2 linked regions of the Mytilus edulis genome follow. The protein of the gene in region 1 interacts with the protein of each later gene in a pairwise test. Links are inferred from orthologs where the notes say so. Each region holds a gene or a part of one and is shown on either strand. Other genes may lie near its edges.

Region 1 (7,296 bases):
TGTTATTTCCAGAATCGGATGGGCGTGTTATAACTGTATATGTATCTAGAAGATCTGGCTCAGGTTCCTTGTCACTAGCTTCTTCTTCAGATGATGATTTCTTACTTTCTTCATTGTCCTGCAAATTGAAATGAAAAATAGAGAAATGAAATGAATACATGGAAAATGATAAATTACATACATGTACATGCTAAAATGTATATATATATAGCTAGCAAGAAACCTACATGATCAATACATGTATATATGTTCAAAGCATCTGAATTAGTTTAATAGATATAAGAAGATGTGGTATGAGTGTCAATGAGACAACTCTTCATCCAAGTTACAATTTGTAAAAGTAAACCATAAGAGGTCAAAGTACATCATTTTAGCTGCTGTATATAATATTTTATATTCATTTATTGTCTTGTAAGTCATGTAAGTTGTATATAAATCAGGCCATATAAGTATTCTTGTTTGAATTATTTTGCATGCAATTTTGGAGCATTTTATAGCCTTCTACATGTATCATGACCATGTTGTATCCATGGGTTTTTTAAACATTAAAGTGGATGTTAGGAACTGCGTGTATAGGCAAGTGTTATCATGGTTATGTTTGTAATGTTTGTTGTGAAATAAATAGTTACATGATTATTGATTTATTTATTTTTTTAAATGTGTATTATCTCTAACATGTCTAAGGGATCATTCCACTTTATAGTTTACAGCCAAGATAATAGTGCATCATGTGCAATGATATTCATGTAACAACTTCCCTGGCCTCAATCCAATAACTGTCAATTCAAGTGATCTGGTAATCATATAATATTAATATAAGCCCATCCAGAATTCTATAACATTTTACAACTTACTTCAGTGTACAAATGGTACAGGTGAAACTTAATTAATATATATTTTCCATTTTTACAGGAAAATATTGTGATTTAGTCTTGGTAGATTTTAGGCATAAAAAATTCCCAATTAAGATAAAAATTCCAAATTTGATGTTCAAGGGACCCATTTGAAAAATACATTAATCAAAAACTAAAGTGAAATGAAAATTTTGTTTCAAGTCTTAACAAAGACTTATCACTAACATGTACATGTAATAGTACAAAGCAGTCCAGTAAATCTGTCAAAATACTTCACTAGTTTTCAAAGTTAAATTTACTCATAACAAATGGACAAATATGGCCGTATTTTCACATCAAAAACTACTCTGTGTACAGACTTACATGTACCTATACCGTTTGGAAAGTTTTAAGGCCTATCATCCACTAGATATATAAAGTTAAATGCATTTCGTGTTTAAGAAAGATAAAATCTTTCTTGGTTTTTGATGGGCATTTTTTTTTCCTTTCTGCAGAAGGTGTAAAAATAAACAAACACCTGAATTACTTTGATACTGTCCACTCACTGACTCGGATAAACTCTTTAACTCACCTATAGTTGTGAAGATGCCTATTGTCCATGTCAATTAAGGACATTCAATACAATACATTGTACAAACCAGTTTTTACCTGAGGGAGCATCTCAAAGTTGATCCACAACTTAGTTAATTTTCATACCTTATGCATGAAGGAAAAAAATGCCCATCAAGATCCAAAAGAGATTGTATCTTTCTGAAACACAAAATGCATTTAACTTTAATATATCTAGAGGATACCAGGCATTAAAACTTTTCCTACGTAGAGACGTACAACATCTACATGTACAAGGACATGAAGGAAGGAAATATGAATGAGAGTCTAAAAAATCAGAGATAATGTTAATTAACCTTACAGTGCAACCACCTGGAGCCACACTTAATGAGGTAAAATATCTGTGTTTAGTTAGGATGTTCAATTGGATAATTAAATATAAATAGCTCAAGTCCTTGTGAACTCTCAGACAGGTTTTTGCTGTCATAGGTGGTGTACTTTGGCCACCTAGCCAAATTATGTTTTTTCATCAACATAAATAGACCTAAACAAGTCTGTCATTTTCTGACTTAGATAAGTCTAAAATTGAAAACACATTTTTATAATAAATACATGTTTTGACTTCTGTAAGTCAAAAACAAAAAATGACTTGTTTATGTCTGAGCTCTGACTGAAATACACACCTTATCGCTATTTGTCTGCTATTACTGGACATCACACAGGTTCCCGTAAAATTTTGACGTCATATAAATACAAAATATCTGACGCCACAATGAAAAAGTCATTATTGTATGACGTCAATAGTTCAAGCAGGACATATGCAGGGAATAGCCATAAGGTGTATCATGAGCAGAAGCACACTTTCAAAACTTTTATGAAAAAATGACTTTTTGTTCCTTCAAACCAAACTTGTTACATTAATTATTGCCTATATATATCTATATGTGTGTGTTAATAAAATACGAAAAACTGTGACCGAATCGACTGTCACCAAACTGGTTCTGTGGCCGAAAAGACGTGTGACAAAAATGGTTGCGAGACCGAAACGTCTCGAAAACACGAAAGCCAAAATAACAACGTATTATCAACGTTTCTTTTCACTACGAGCAAGCTAAACTTATTGTTTAGTGTGTGTATCATTTAAAACAATTAATTGTGTACATATTGCAACCTTATTATTTTGGTCATCTCCATCAGAATCCAAAATTTCACCCTCCTCAAAATCGCCCTGTTCCATGCTTCACACCTTCTAAAATCTGGTACTTGCAGTAAATTCGAAGGTCTAAAAATGCATACTCAAACTGGGAACCAGATTTAGTTCTTTATTTCCTCCTTTCGAAAGAAGAAAAAAGTTTTGACATCACAGATTAGTTAGTGTTAATCATTTTTATGTTGACTTTAAAGTAACTATTATTATATTTATACACTATTTATGATATCATTCACATTCACACGTCTTTGATTTATTTTCTTGTACATTTGATTGGTTTTTAAAATTGCTAACAGTTAAAAAGATACAAGTGTGGACTGTGGTATCCAAGTTGTGAATTTTTTGTTTTTAAATTATTTACTTGCTGATGAGGCTGCTCAATAATCGAACACACAGGTCTCAGACTGTGAGTGAGTGAGTGTGACAGTCAGAGATAATTATTTACCTGAAAATGCAATATGTGTACATGTTTTCTTTTGTTTTAATTTCCTTCTAAATCTTATTTTCCCCCTTTCTTTCATCAAACTGAAACAATATGCCAAATTGGGAATGTCTGATTGATACATAATTTTGTTGATTAAATATTAAATGTCCACTTGCAAGTATTTCATGCATGTTCAGAACGGTATTCACAATGAGTACTATATGTAGGTTCTGCTTAATATAGGAAATGACATGGATAGGTACAAAAATTTAGCAAATAATTAGTCATCTTGAAAGCTATTATAAATACTTTTTGCTTTGACGCATTAAACATTGTTAAAGGGGGTAGTAATGCTCTTTACCGTCAGGCGTCAAATGATAATTTTTCAGCTACCGAACGTCAGTAACAAATTGATTTGTCAAAATGTCCTTATTGTGTATCGTAAAAGGTCTCAAATTAATGTCGTTTAATAGAGTCGTGTTTGGAAAAAAATTAACTTGATGCATCAAAACACTTACAGTCAATTTTTTTTATTGTTTTAAAGAAAGTGTACATTTTATCGTCAAGCACCAAAAATTACCTTAAATCATATGGCATGTATGGCAAGAATTTTAACTGTTATTTGTCATTACTACGTACCCTCTTGTAGAGTATGTACGTAAGACATCATTTTAAAGCAAAAGGTATAGACTAGTAGCCTTTCAAGAAGTCAAACTTATTTGGACTAGCTACTTACTAGACCCCTGAAAGAGTAGTTACAATTTACAAGGGTTTTCTACATGGAGAGAGTGTGACAATTTGTCTAATGATGTCATCACATGGTCATAGAGCATGTATTGTACATGTTGTAGAGTCAGACAGATGAAAATTTACATATTTTACCAAAATCATGAAAATAGGCAATTTGGTCAAAATACAAAATGTATGTATGAGCAACTGCTTTACCTAAAAAAGATATTTTACACACATCCATGTGTTTGTAAAACACATTTTTTAGCCAAAATATCAATGAAGAGGTCAAATCAAAGCTATTTTGATAATTTTTTGCTGCTTTTACTCTAAATGCCATAAACACATCATGTCAGAGATGAATGTGAGAAAGTGAAAGGCTGAACACAATATTAATATTTACTGCCAAAATTTAAGACAAATTACAAACATGACAAAGTGTTTATACTGATGTTCATAAACTAATGTCATACATCATGTGCATATAATAAACATCTGAAGAATGTTTTTGGTCGATTGATAATACAAAAAAAGGGGTCTTGTCATAGATGTGCCTTCTCCTTTATCTATTAACAATGATTAAATATCAGTGCAATATTTGCAGGATGTAGATGATGTATATATATATTTCTAACATACATGTACATGTATGTATTTAATATCATTGTTTTTGTTTTCAGTTTTATACCACCTAGAAGCAGTCACATTGAATGAAACAAATATGAGCATACATATTTACATGAAACTGCTATAATGGAAATTCATGTACAACAGAGGTCATCAGAATGGTTTGAATTGCGAAAATCTGTCCAGCTGACAGCTTCAAACTTTGGTGAAGCTTTGGGTGTTGGTCGAGGTAAACCATATGACTTTCTTGTTTATTACCTCACAGAAGAAGAGGAAGAAGAGACATCTAGTTCAGCTCAACATGGTATTAACATGGAAGTTGTCATTAGTGAAATGTACCAGATTTTAACTGGAAACCAGACAAGAGAAACTGGATTTTGGATACCAGCAAAGGGAGATTACATAGAAGGTTTAGTTGGAGTATCTCCTGATGCTGTTGTTTTAGATAATACCAGGAAACCAGTTGGTCTATGTGAATTTAAAGCACCTGTCTTCTCATTGTATGGACAAAATGCTCCACATGGCATACCTAGACATTATATGGCCCAAATTCAAGGTCAGATGGGTGTCTCGAAATTACCTTGGTGTGACTTTCTGGCTGTCTGTGTGAAAACCAAAAGTCTTATATTAAAACGGGTGCATTTTTGTCAAGATTACTGGGGTAATGCTTCAAAGATGCTGAAAGATTTTTGTCTTGCAATAAAGGTACTGTTTGCAGTTAAAATCAAAAGCTTTTTATAACATGTACATTTGTATAACATTGTATAAGGGATGATTAAGTCTAAACATATTTCGTTTGAAAACATGACATGCAAAATTTATTGCAGTATTCTGAACCAAGATTATCCTTATATTACTAGATGTGAATCAATTTTTCTAATGCATATTTTCCGTTCTCAATTTTATTGGTCATACAATTTGCATGTTTTGAAATGTTTTGTACATGAATTCTTTTGAGTTTAATCAAGTGTGTAGGGGATTTTGTTGGTCATGTATGAGAATTTGCTTTACATGATCATGATGATAAAAAATTAAGAAAATTCTGCTGGTGATCATGGTGATATTTTAAATTGTCTTTAGATGATGTGCTAAATTTTATGGAAAGAACAAACCACAAAATATTGAAAAAAATTTCTTAAATTAATGGTACAACCTGTTTTAGGATATATTAAAAAGGTTGGTACATGTACATTTTGTATTTGACAGTATACCATATACATGTATGAGCTGTGTTGGAAAGAAATAGACCATATGCAAATGAATATCAATACATCTAATAACCTATTTTGGTTTGAAAATATCGCTATGGAAAGTCTGCAGTAACTGTTTCACATGTGTTTCAGCTGTATATAAGAAAATCTACAAACAAGACCAAAATTCATCTTTTATTTGGTAATTTCCTATTTGAATGTTCGAAAATCAATCAAAAGTCTTATACGTGTTCATGTAAACATGCGCCTGCAAAAAACATATAGCTTTTACATGTCTTATGTTGTTTTTAATTTAAAATGTGTTAGAAATGTTACCAGGTTACTGAACATCTGAAAGATTGCCTAAACATGTACTTAAAAAAAAGAAGATGTGATATGATTGCCTATGAGACAATTCTCCACATGTAACTTATGATAAATGACTCAGAAATTAACAACTATAGGTCACCATACACATGTATGGCCTTCAACAATAAAAGGCCTCCAAAATGACAAATGTTAAAAAACTCAAAATGAGAAAATTTACATTGTGTATGCGCAAATTAATGAAAGAAAAACGAATATGTACATGATGTAACACAACACCAGACAACATCACTGAATTATATGGTTGTTGATACATGTATATCCATGATACTGATGTACATGTAATTATACGATTATAAAGCATTTCAAAACAATCATTTGTTCTTTCATATATTACAGGAAGCCAGACAGAATGGAGGCAATGTAGAAAAACTAAACAACGAGTTCATCAACCAGCTGAAACAAAAAGGAACCAACTACTCTAAATTTCTCAGCGGAGAATCCAGTATACGTGTAGAAAACCTCCTTAAACTAAATACCAATAACAAAACCTTTGCTGGACCAACAGATGTTTGGTTTACATTTGATTGTTTAATGGGTAATCACATAGACTTCCCTCCTGCTACAAGAGACTTTATAGATCACCGAATTAAAGAAATTGACAGGGAGATAAGGTTCAAAGATCAACAATCTGAGACATAAGTTATTTTGTTATGTGAATAGAGAAATTTGATTTTTTTTGTTATAGAATTGTTCTTTGGCAGCTTGACCATGTTGACTTGTATCTACTAGATCTGTTATTATGTCAGATGTATTTAGCAAATGGTATACTTAAAAGATATTTAAATTATTTGTAAATTATAAAAATAGCTATGTAACTGAGGAATGTCTTATATTGTGATAGGTATTTAGATCACTTACTCTTTCAAATATAATTATATGATATTTTTTTATTACTATTTTATAGGAATATTACAGAAAATATACTTGTGTACAAAAAATTTTGAAATGAAACATACATGCTTGTTTATTGCTGTTAGCTAGGTGAACCATAAAATCAATAAAACCTTTGTTTCTTACCAAGTTGAAGAATTTAAAGAAGTAAATGTAAGCCAATCAAGTTCTGAGACATGTTTAATAAGAGAATGACTGAAAAAACAGGCAAAAAAGATGCAATTTTAGACATGAATCTCAGCAATTTGTGAATATTAAAAACCATGCACCTGAAGTAATTATACAAGAACATACTTGTTTTTTTTGTATGGGATGGAGTTAAGATGGGAGAAAATACTAGGGATAATGATACCTTGCAATAATTATAGTTTACTGTTTATTCATGATCTTTTATTTAGGTTTCATATCCGCACATTTGAATAGAATTGATTC
Region 2 (7,406 bases), on another chromosome or scaffold:
TCTCCATAGAATAACTTTATTAAACCACGTGGCAATGACCTTCTAGTCAGAATTTTGAGAATGGGGTATGTCCTCGCAAAATTTTAATGAATTTTATTAAAATCATTTAGGTGTAAATATTCTTCATTGTATGTGCTAAGGGTTGTCTAATACTTGCAGTGATGCAGTGAATTTTTTTTTGCTCCATGCTGAAGGTCTCAATGTGACTATCAGATGAAGAACAACAATAAAAGCGCTGTTCCTTTGCTATGTGTTTTTTTCATTGATTTAAATTTTGTGTCATAGATGGATACCAGTTCACATATCTTTTCTTTTCTGTATTGTATCCATAATCTCAACATTACATTATAGAGAATAAATTGCTTCGCTGAGCGCAGCTGAATACAACCGCAGAGGTACAGCCCTGAACAGTTGGGGCAAAAATGGAGACAATACTCACGCTTGATACAGGTCTGAATTTGGATTGTAATTAAATATTTGACACACAATAGGTTTCTGACACAGAATAACTGTAGTCAATGAGCTTAGAATTGGTTATATGGTTTGAATTATTTATATATTTTTTTACATGTCCAAAACCTGACATTTCTTTTTACATATTTTACAAGTAGTGTAAGGGAGGTTAATCAAAACATAGACAACATTGTATTTTAAATGTAATTGGATTACCTCCCTTACACTGGTTTTAAATTGTCTTAATTGTCCATTAACCAGAAAAACTAGTTTTCCCTCTTTTTTTGCCCCTAATTTCTAATTTGTTTGAGCCATAACCTCCCAAAGTCAATCCTAACATGATATAGTATTATACGACGCAAAAATTGTTTTGCGGTCGTATAATAAATACTGATATCATACCTTTACTTTCATTTGATTCCTGTATTGCAACATCCCATAAAGATTTTTCTAGTCTGAAAGCAAAGATTTTTTTTTCCATTAAAATATCTGTAACTATAGATCATATATATGCATTTTTAGCACTACAAATTTTGTATTGGTTTTCTGTATTTCTTGTCCTCTGTTTAATGTATTCACCACTTGTCTATCATGCTTTGACAATTTAGAGTTTATAATAGTATGTAGGAACTTTGATTAAAAATAGTCTAGATAAGTTTATATAATATCTATTTTTAAGTTATCCTTTGTTTTTTATACATCTTTCTTGGCAAACAGTTACTGTATTATACCATGTATACCAAGACAGGAGGCTTTGTAACTCCAAAGCCTGCATTTCTCACCTGGCTATCATTATTTTAGTGTTACCTTATCAGAAAATACAACTAATCTAGGGACCTTATTGTTATTTGGGATTCTGCAACACTTAAAATTTTGACATTGTGCAACAATCTCTTTTCCTAATACACCTTATCGCTAATCCTGGCTGACCCGGCTGCTTGAACTTTTGACGCATACAACAATCACTTTTCCATTGTGGCGTCAGATATTTTGTTTTATGACGTCAACTTTTTACAGGAACCCGTGTGATATCCAGTAATGGCGGACAAAAAAGCGATAAGGTGTATTGTGAAACAGTATATCGAATATCAATATATATATGTTCCTAGTGGCATCAGACAATTTCTATTGTGACATCAAAATTTTAAGGTGACCAAGTTGTGATGTCCAGTAATATGATTAATATGGGACAATGTCCCCAATTACGGTAGAAAAATCAATTAAAAAAAAAAAAAAATCGGGAAAATTTCCTGAATTTTTCATTCTACTAATGAACTCAAAATCGTTAACTTTTTTTTTCAGATCTACTTCCGTTTCCAGTTTCTTCCGTTTCCGATCTTGTTTGCATGAGACTTTGAATAAAATATATATTTATCAACATATCAACAAAAATATAGGAAGGAATTCAACACCTAATCATTTTTAATAATTGTTTGATATGAAAAAACATTACCTGGATAACAGCGTTTCTTTGTTTACATTGAATATGACGTCATAACTTAAATAACGTCACAACTAAATCCCTAACAACAGAACCAATATTGGAAACATTATGGTATTTCCGTTTCTTTTATCAACATGTTTGAATTCAAAAAAAAAAATACAGACTTCGTCCCCATTCACAGGTTATATGCCTGCCTTATATTAATGGCAGACAAATAGCGATAAGTAGAATGAAGTACCGGTACATGTACGGTGTAGTCTGGTGTATCAGTGCACCTAAGACTTATAACTTCACTTTATCATGTTTATCAAAATGATAAAACCTTGCATTGGATAATATTGTGTGAAACAATTCATTACATACTTTAATTTCATAAAATCTTCTGTATGTATGGTTTCACCTTTTTAACATTTTGAGTAAAGTGTGTCCAAAATTTGGGAAACCCCTGTTTTGAGAGTTCTTCAAATAAATAAATTTGGTGTATATACTGTCTTCTGATTGGTTAAAATTTTTAGTTTTATTATTAATGTTGTCAATTTTGAAGACGACACGCCCACTCTGACGTTGTTAATATATATAATATAAAAAGTTCTTTGAGCCTTATTTTTGATAGAAATTTATTTATAATGAATGGCAATAATCTATTGCGGATTATTCAATGTGAAGAGTCAAAAATTAGTTTTATGGTTCAATAAATTCAAAGTAAATAATAGCCATTCATTAAATGTTTATTCTAATGCAACATCGTTTGTAACGTTCATTTTGATTGGATAACGTCACTTATTTACATGGCATCAATTGTCAATTGATGCTATGGGACGTACGCGCAAGGGCAGACGGCATATGACAGATTTTAAATACATGTTTTAACGTTGTTTTCTGTTTTCAGCTAACGCGTCGCCAGTAAACTTGATTTGCGACCATCAAATCCCAAATTGATGCCGCCGGAGCTTAATATACAATACAGTTATCTCCTAAGTGATCAATTTCTTACTGTTACTCAGTGTTAGAGATATGAAGGTTGATTTTTTGTGGTTTTCAAAAGGCTGAACTCTGTAACAGAATCTTTCATGAAATTGACAGAAATTAAAAGGTGTCATGGAAGAAGAAATTCTAACCCTTTTGACATTTCTGATAGTAGATGTAAATATTCAGTGGAATGTTACTGGTTCTGTTTAGGATTTTAAACCAGTGTATTGTTTATGGTAAATGTGATAACCTAAAATTAAAAAATAAATAATGAACACAACGTACCATTTAAAAGTTTTTATTGCACAATGAAATAAGTCATTAAGTAAATAAAAGAACAAAATACCACAGAGATAATTCTGAACCTTTTTTTCTTCTTCAAAAAATATATTTTCTTGTCGGTAAAACTATTTATTTCCTTGCGGATAATCTATTCGGAAAATATTCTCACTTTAACCGGTACCGGTCTGTTACTATGACTGCTGGTTCCAGATTTATTTTCGCTCAGTGCGTTGGCTCAACCAACAATAAATAAGATCCAAACCAGTAACTGAAAAATTTAGCATATTTTATTCTGGAACAATCACTTTCGCTACACTTTCACCATGTCTAAAGCCTGGCAAGATTTCTTGAGTAGTGAAGGATTTGAACGTATCGACAGTGCAACGAAGCTGTCAGATGAGGACTTAAACGACGATCCAGAAGATGATCCATACAGGTAAATAGCCTAGCTTCATGCATCCATCTCAACCGACACTGTCAGTGAGTGTCACTGGAAGACTCTGCCAGTGACAGTGTCGGTTGAGATGGATGCATGTGCCAGACATAAATGTATGCCTCGATTTATGCACATGCACTTGTTTCATTTGATGGTAGAGGTCTTCCTTTTCCGTTTCACATAAAACAAGTGCCAGTGCATTTTTTGAATTTTTTTTAGAAGACCTACAATGACCTACAATTACATGTATTTATAATTTAAAGTCAGTTGTAAGTGTATATAGGAGAGTGTTAATGCCCTTTACCGTCAGGCGTCAAACGGTCATTACTGGCTACGGTTAATGTCAAATTGTTTAACTTTTTACCGTGATTCGTCAAATGTCTCAAAAATAATTACGTTACCATTATTTTGGGGGGAAAAATAGCGTGATTTGTCAAATTCCGCTGATTGTTATATCGTCTAAAAGAAAGTGTACATTTTATTGTCATGCACTAAAAATTATCGTTAACATCATTTGGCAAGAATTTTTACCGTTATACGTCATGAAGGTATCCCCATTACTATCCTCATATAGGGTATAGTAGACTTCCACAAAAGAATTTGGTCAGTTCGCCTACATTCGTGCCCTTTCATGTTCACCCCCTTTCACTTTCGCACCCTAGACATTTGCAACCAAAGTCTGTTCGCTCCCTAAATGTTTGCACTTTTTTTTATATAATTTTGTAATCAAGTTTTTGTGCCTTTGGCGCAAGTCATGTTTCCATGGTTAGTGTATTGCTATAGACATTTTTTTTTTCATTGTTTCAAAATAAAGTCATGTAAGTGAAAATCTGACAATGTTTTGGTTTTTTTTTGTGTTGAATAAATAACTATGTTTTGGTTTAAATAGTGCATTGCTATACACAAAAAAAATCATTGTTTCTAATATAAATAAAGTGGGAACAAACATGACAAAGGGATCAAGCTGTTCAAAAATATGTTTTATTCATACTACATTTTACTTACACAATGTAACTAAATACATGCAGTATTTACTTCAAAGCAGGCTAAAACAACAACCAGATTTTCAAACACACAATAATAATACCTTTGGCTGTGTATGAATAGCAATTATCAGCAATCATACATAATTAACCTTGAATAATTAATCATCAAATCAATAATAAAAAAAAGAAAAAAAACACATATTTCACATAATAATTCCTAAATTTTAATTTTGGTAGAATAAATTTGTACATGTATAAAAAAAAATCTAATAATGCAACTGGAATTTGAATAAGAATTGGGTCGAAAGTTTATGGGGCGAACATGTGGGATGTGAAAGTGTATTGGGCGCAAATGGACCTGATACAGCTACACCATGTACACAGTGACTATACTATTCAGTTAATACTATACATTACATTGTTACGTGTATATTCAAATCAACCCTCGTTCTTGGTGCCACGAGAAACACTTGTGACTATACAAGGACCTATTCATAACATTAACTGTATTGTTTTCAAATTAAACATTCACAAAATGTAAAAGATTATATACTTTAATAATACTAATATTGCTCTTCAGTAATGAACAGGTGCTTGCATGAATTAAAGGCAGAGGCTATTTTGTAGGCACTGATTAAAATATCTAAATTCAAGCTGCAGAAATGGCTATTTTACTGGCACCAGCAATAAAATAATAACTGTGTTATTTGCCTGTACTTTGTAAAGAGGAAATTTGATTTTGCTTTTGAAAAGTTCTATGAAAATGTGCACTGTCAACTTAAAAGAATTAAATAATTACTGATACACCAGTATTTCAATAAGAAAACAGCCAGGAACATATAAACAGATATACTGACATATACTGTTCCCAGAAACAGCTAATAATATTTGAGATACAAAAATGTACATATAATTGTTTAAAAACATTTATCAGTCAAAGTTAAAAGAAAAAAAATCATAAAGAGCATCCCATTTGTTGCAATGAAATTGTATCAAACCATGTACATGCAGCTGAAATAATTTCGAAAATCAGTCACACACTCTATATAATGCTACATGTATGCATAAGAATTAAAAAAAGGTTTTTTTCTTTATTTTATAAAAAAAAATATACATGTTAAAAATTTCAGTGCATCAACAATTTAATAAAAAATATAAAAAAGTCAACCACAGACATGTACAAAAATGTTTGAATTCAACTAACTTGCTTTTGAAATAATAGTCAGTTCTTTGAAATGTATATATGTCATGTATGTGTAAACAAAATTATAAACCATTTCTATAGAAAAAAGCTATTTTAATTTGACTTCTTGAATTTAGATATTTAATCAGAGCCAGCAAAATTTGAAATTGTTATTTTATTTTGCTGATGCGGGCAAAATAGCCACAGCCTAAATTAAAAGTTAACACCAAAAGTTATTTAAATAAAGAACTAATATCCATTGTAAAAATCAATTCACAACCAAAGTATTGCCATGTGGTATAAATTCATAACCCCATATTACTCTATAGTATATAAGTTCAAGGTCATCTAATTAGCAAACCTGACATTTATATGTATGAAGTACACAATCAAAAAGCTGTAACAGAAACTACATACATTTTTGTCGAGCCTTCGACTTTATTCGAAAAAGCGAGACTAAGCGATCCTACATTCCCTCGGCGTCGTCGGCGGCGGCGTCCACAAATATTCACTCTGTGGTTAAAGTTTTTGAAATTTTAATAACTTTCTTAAACTATACTGAATTTCTACCAAACTTGGACAGAAGCTTGTTTATGATCATAAGAAAGTATCCAGAAGTAAATTTTGTGAAAATAAAATTCCATTTTTCCGTATTTTACTTATAAATGGACTTAGTTTTTCTGCGAGGAAACATTACATTCACTCTGTGGTTAAAGTTTTAAAAATTTTAATAACTTTCATAAACTATCCTTGATTTGTACCAAACTTGGACAGAAGCTTGTTTATGATCATAAGATAGTACCGTTATCAAGAAGAAAATTTTGTAAAAATAAATTTCCACTTTTCCGTATTTTACTTATAAATGGACTTAGTTTTTCTGCGAGGAAACATTACATTCACTCTGTGGTTAAAGTTTTTAAAATTTTAATTACTTTGAGTCTTTCATAAACTATCCTTGATTTGCACTTAACTTGGACAGAAGCTTCTTTATGATCATAAGATAGTATCAAGAAGAAAATTTTGTAAAAATAAATTTCCACTTTTCCGTATTTTACTTATAAATGGACTTAGTTTTCTGCCAGAAACAAAACATTCACTCTGTGGTTTAAGTTTTTAAAATTTTTATAATGTTCTAAAACTATCTTGGATTTCTACCAAACTTAGACAAAAGCTTGTTTCTAATCATAAGATGTTATTCAGAAGTAACAAAAAAAAAATCACTTTTTCCGTATTTTACTTATAAATGGACTTAGTTTTTCTTCCAGTTAACATTACATACAGTCTGCAGTTAAAGTTTATAAAACATTTATTAGATTCATAAACTATCCTGGTTTTTTTTACCAAACTTGGAAGCTTCTTTCAATCAAAAGACAATATCGAGAGGGAAATTTTTATTGATGTTTTTCATCATTTTTGTTGAGTCTGCAAATAACAGCATAAGTAGGCGAGACACTGGGTTCCGTGGAACCCTTACAAATTTTTTTTGTATTCAACTGTTATTCAACTTAATTAAAAGTGCAAAAATTTAACATTTTGTTTGAGGGACTTCACTGCTTGAATATCTCTACTTCAGATGGTTTCTGACAGACCAACTAGATTGTGGTAGATTACCTTAGCTTTAAAACCTTGTGTAGTCATTGTTCTTCAACATTG

Evidence for each region. The genes of interacting proteins can lie anywhere in the genome.
Region 2: the proteins of phosphorylated adapter RNA export protein-like (region 1) and cytoplasmic dynein 2 light intermediate chain 1-like interact in a two-hybrid assay, tested with the Drosophila melanogaster proteins (2 studies listed by BioGRID). The link is inferred for Mytilus edulis from reciprocal best matches to the Drosophila melanogaster genes Phax and CG3769.

Annotation. Positions count from the first base shown.
Region 1 is NC_092347.1:45,194,602-45,201,897, reverse strand, and holds the start of phosphorylated adapter RNA export protein-like, read right to left. Parts: upstream 3,016-7,296; 5' UTR 2,641-3,015; coding exon 2,575-2,640; intron 119-2,574; coding exon 1-118. Other genes in the region: uncharacterized protein, read left to right, coding at 4,520-5,098, 6,310-6,612.
Region 2 is NC_092346.1:36,842,855-36,850,260, forward strand, and holds the start of cytoplasmic dynein 2 light intermediate chain 1-like, read right to left. Parts: upstream 3,106-7,406; 5' UTR 3,027-3,105; coding exon 3,016-3,026; intron 909-3,015; coding exon 856-908; intron 1-855. Other genes in the region: KIF-binding protein-like, read left to right, coding at 3,472-3,584.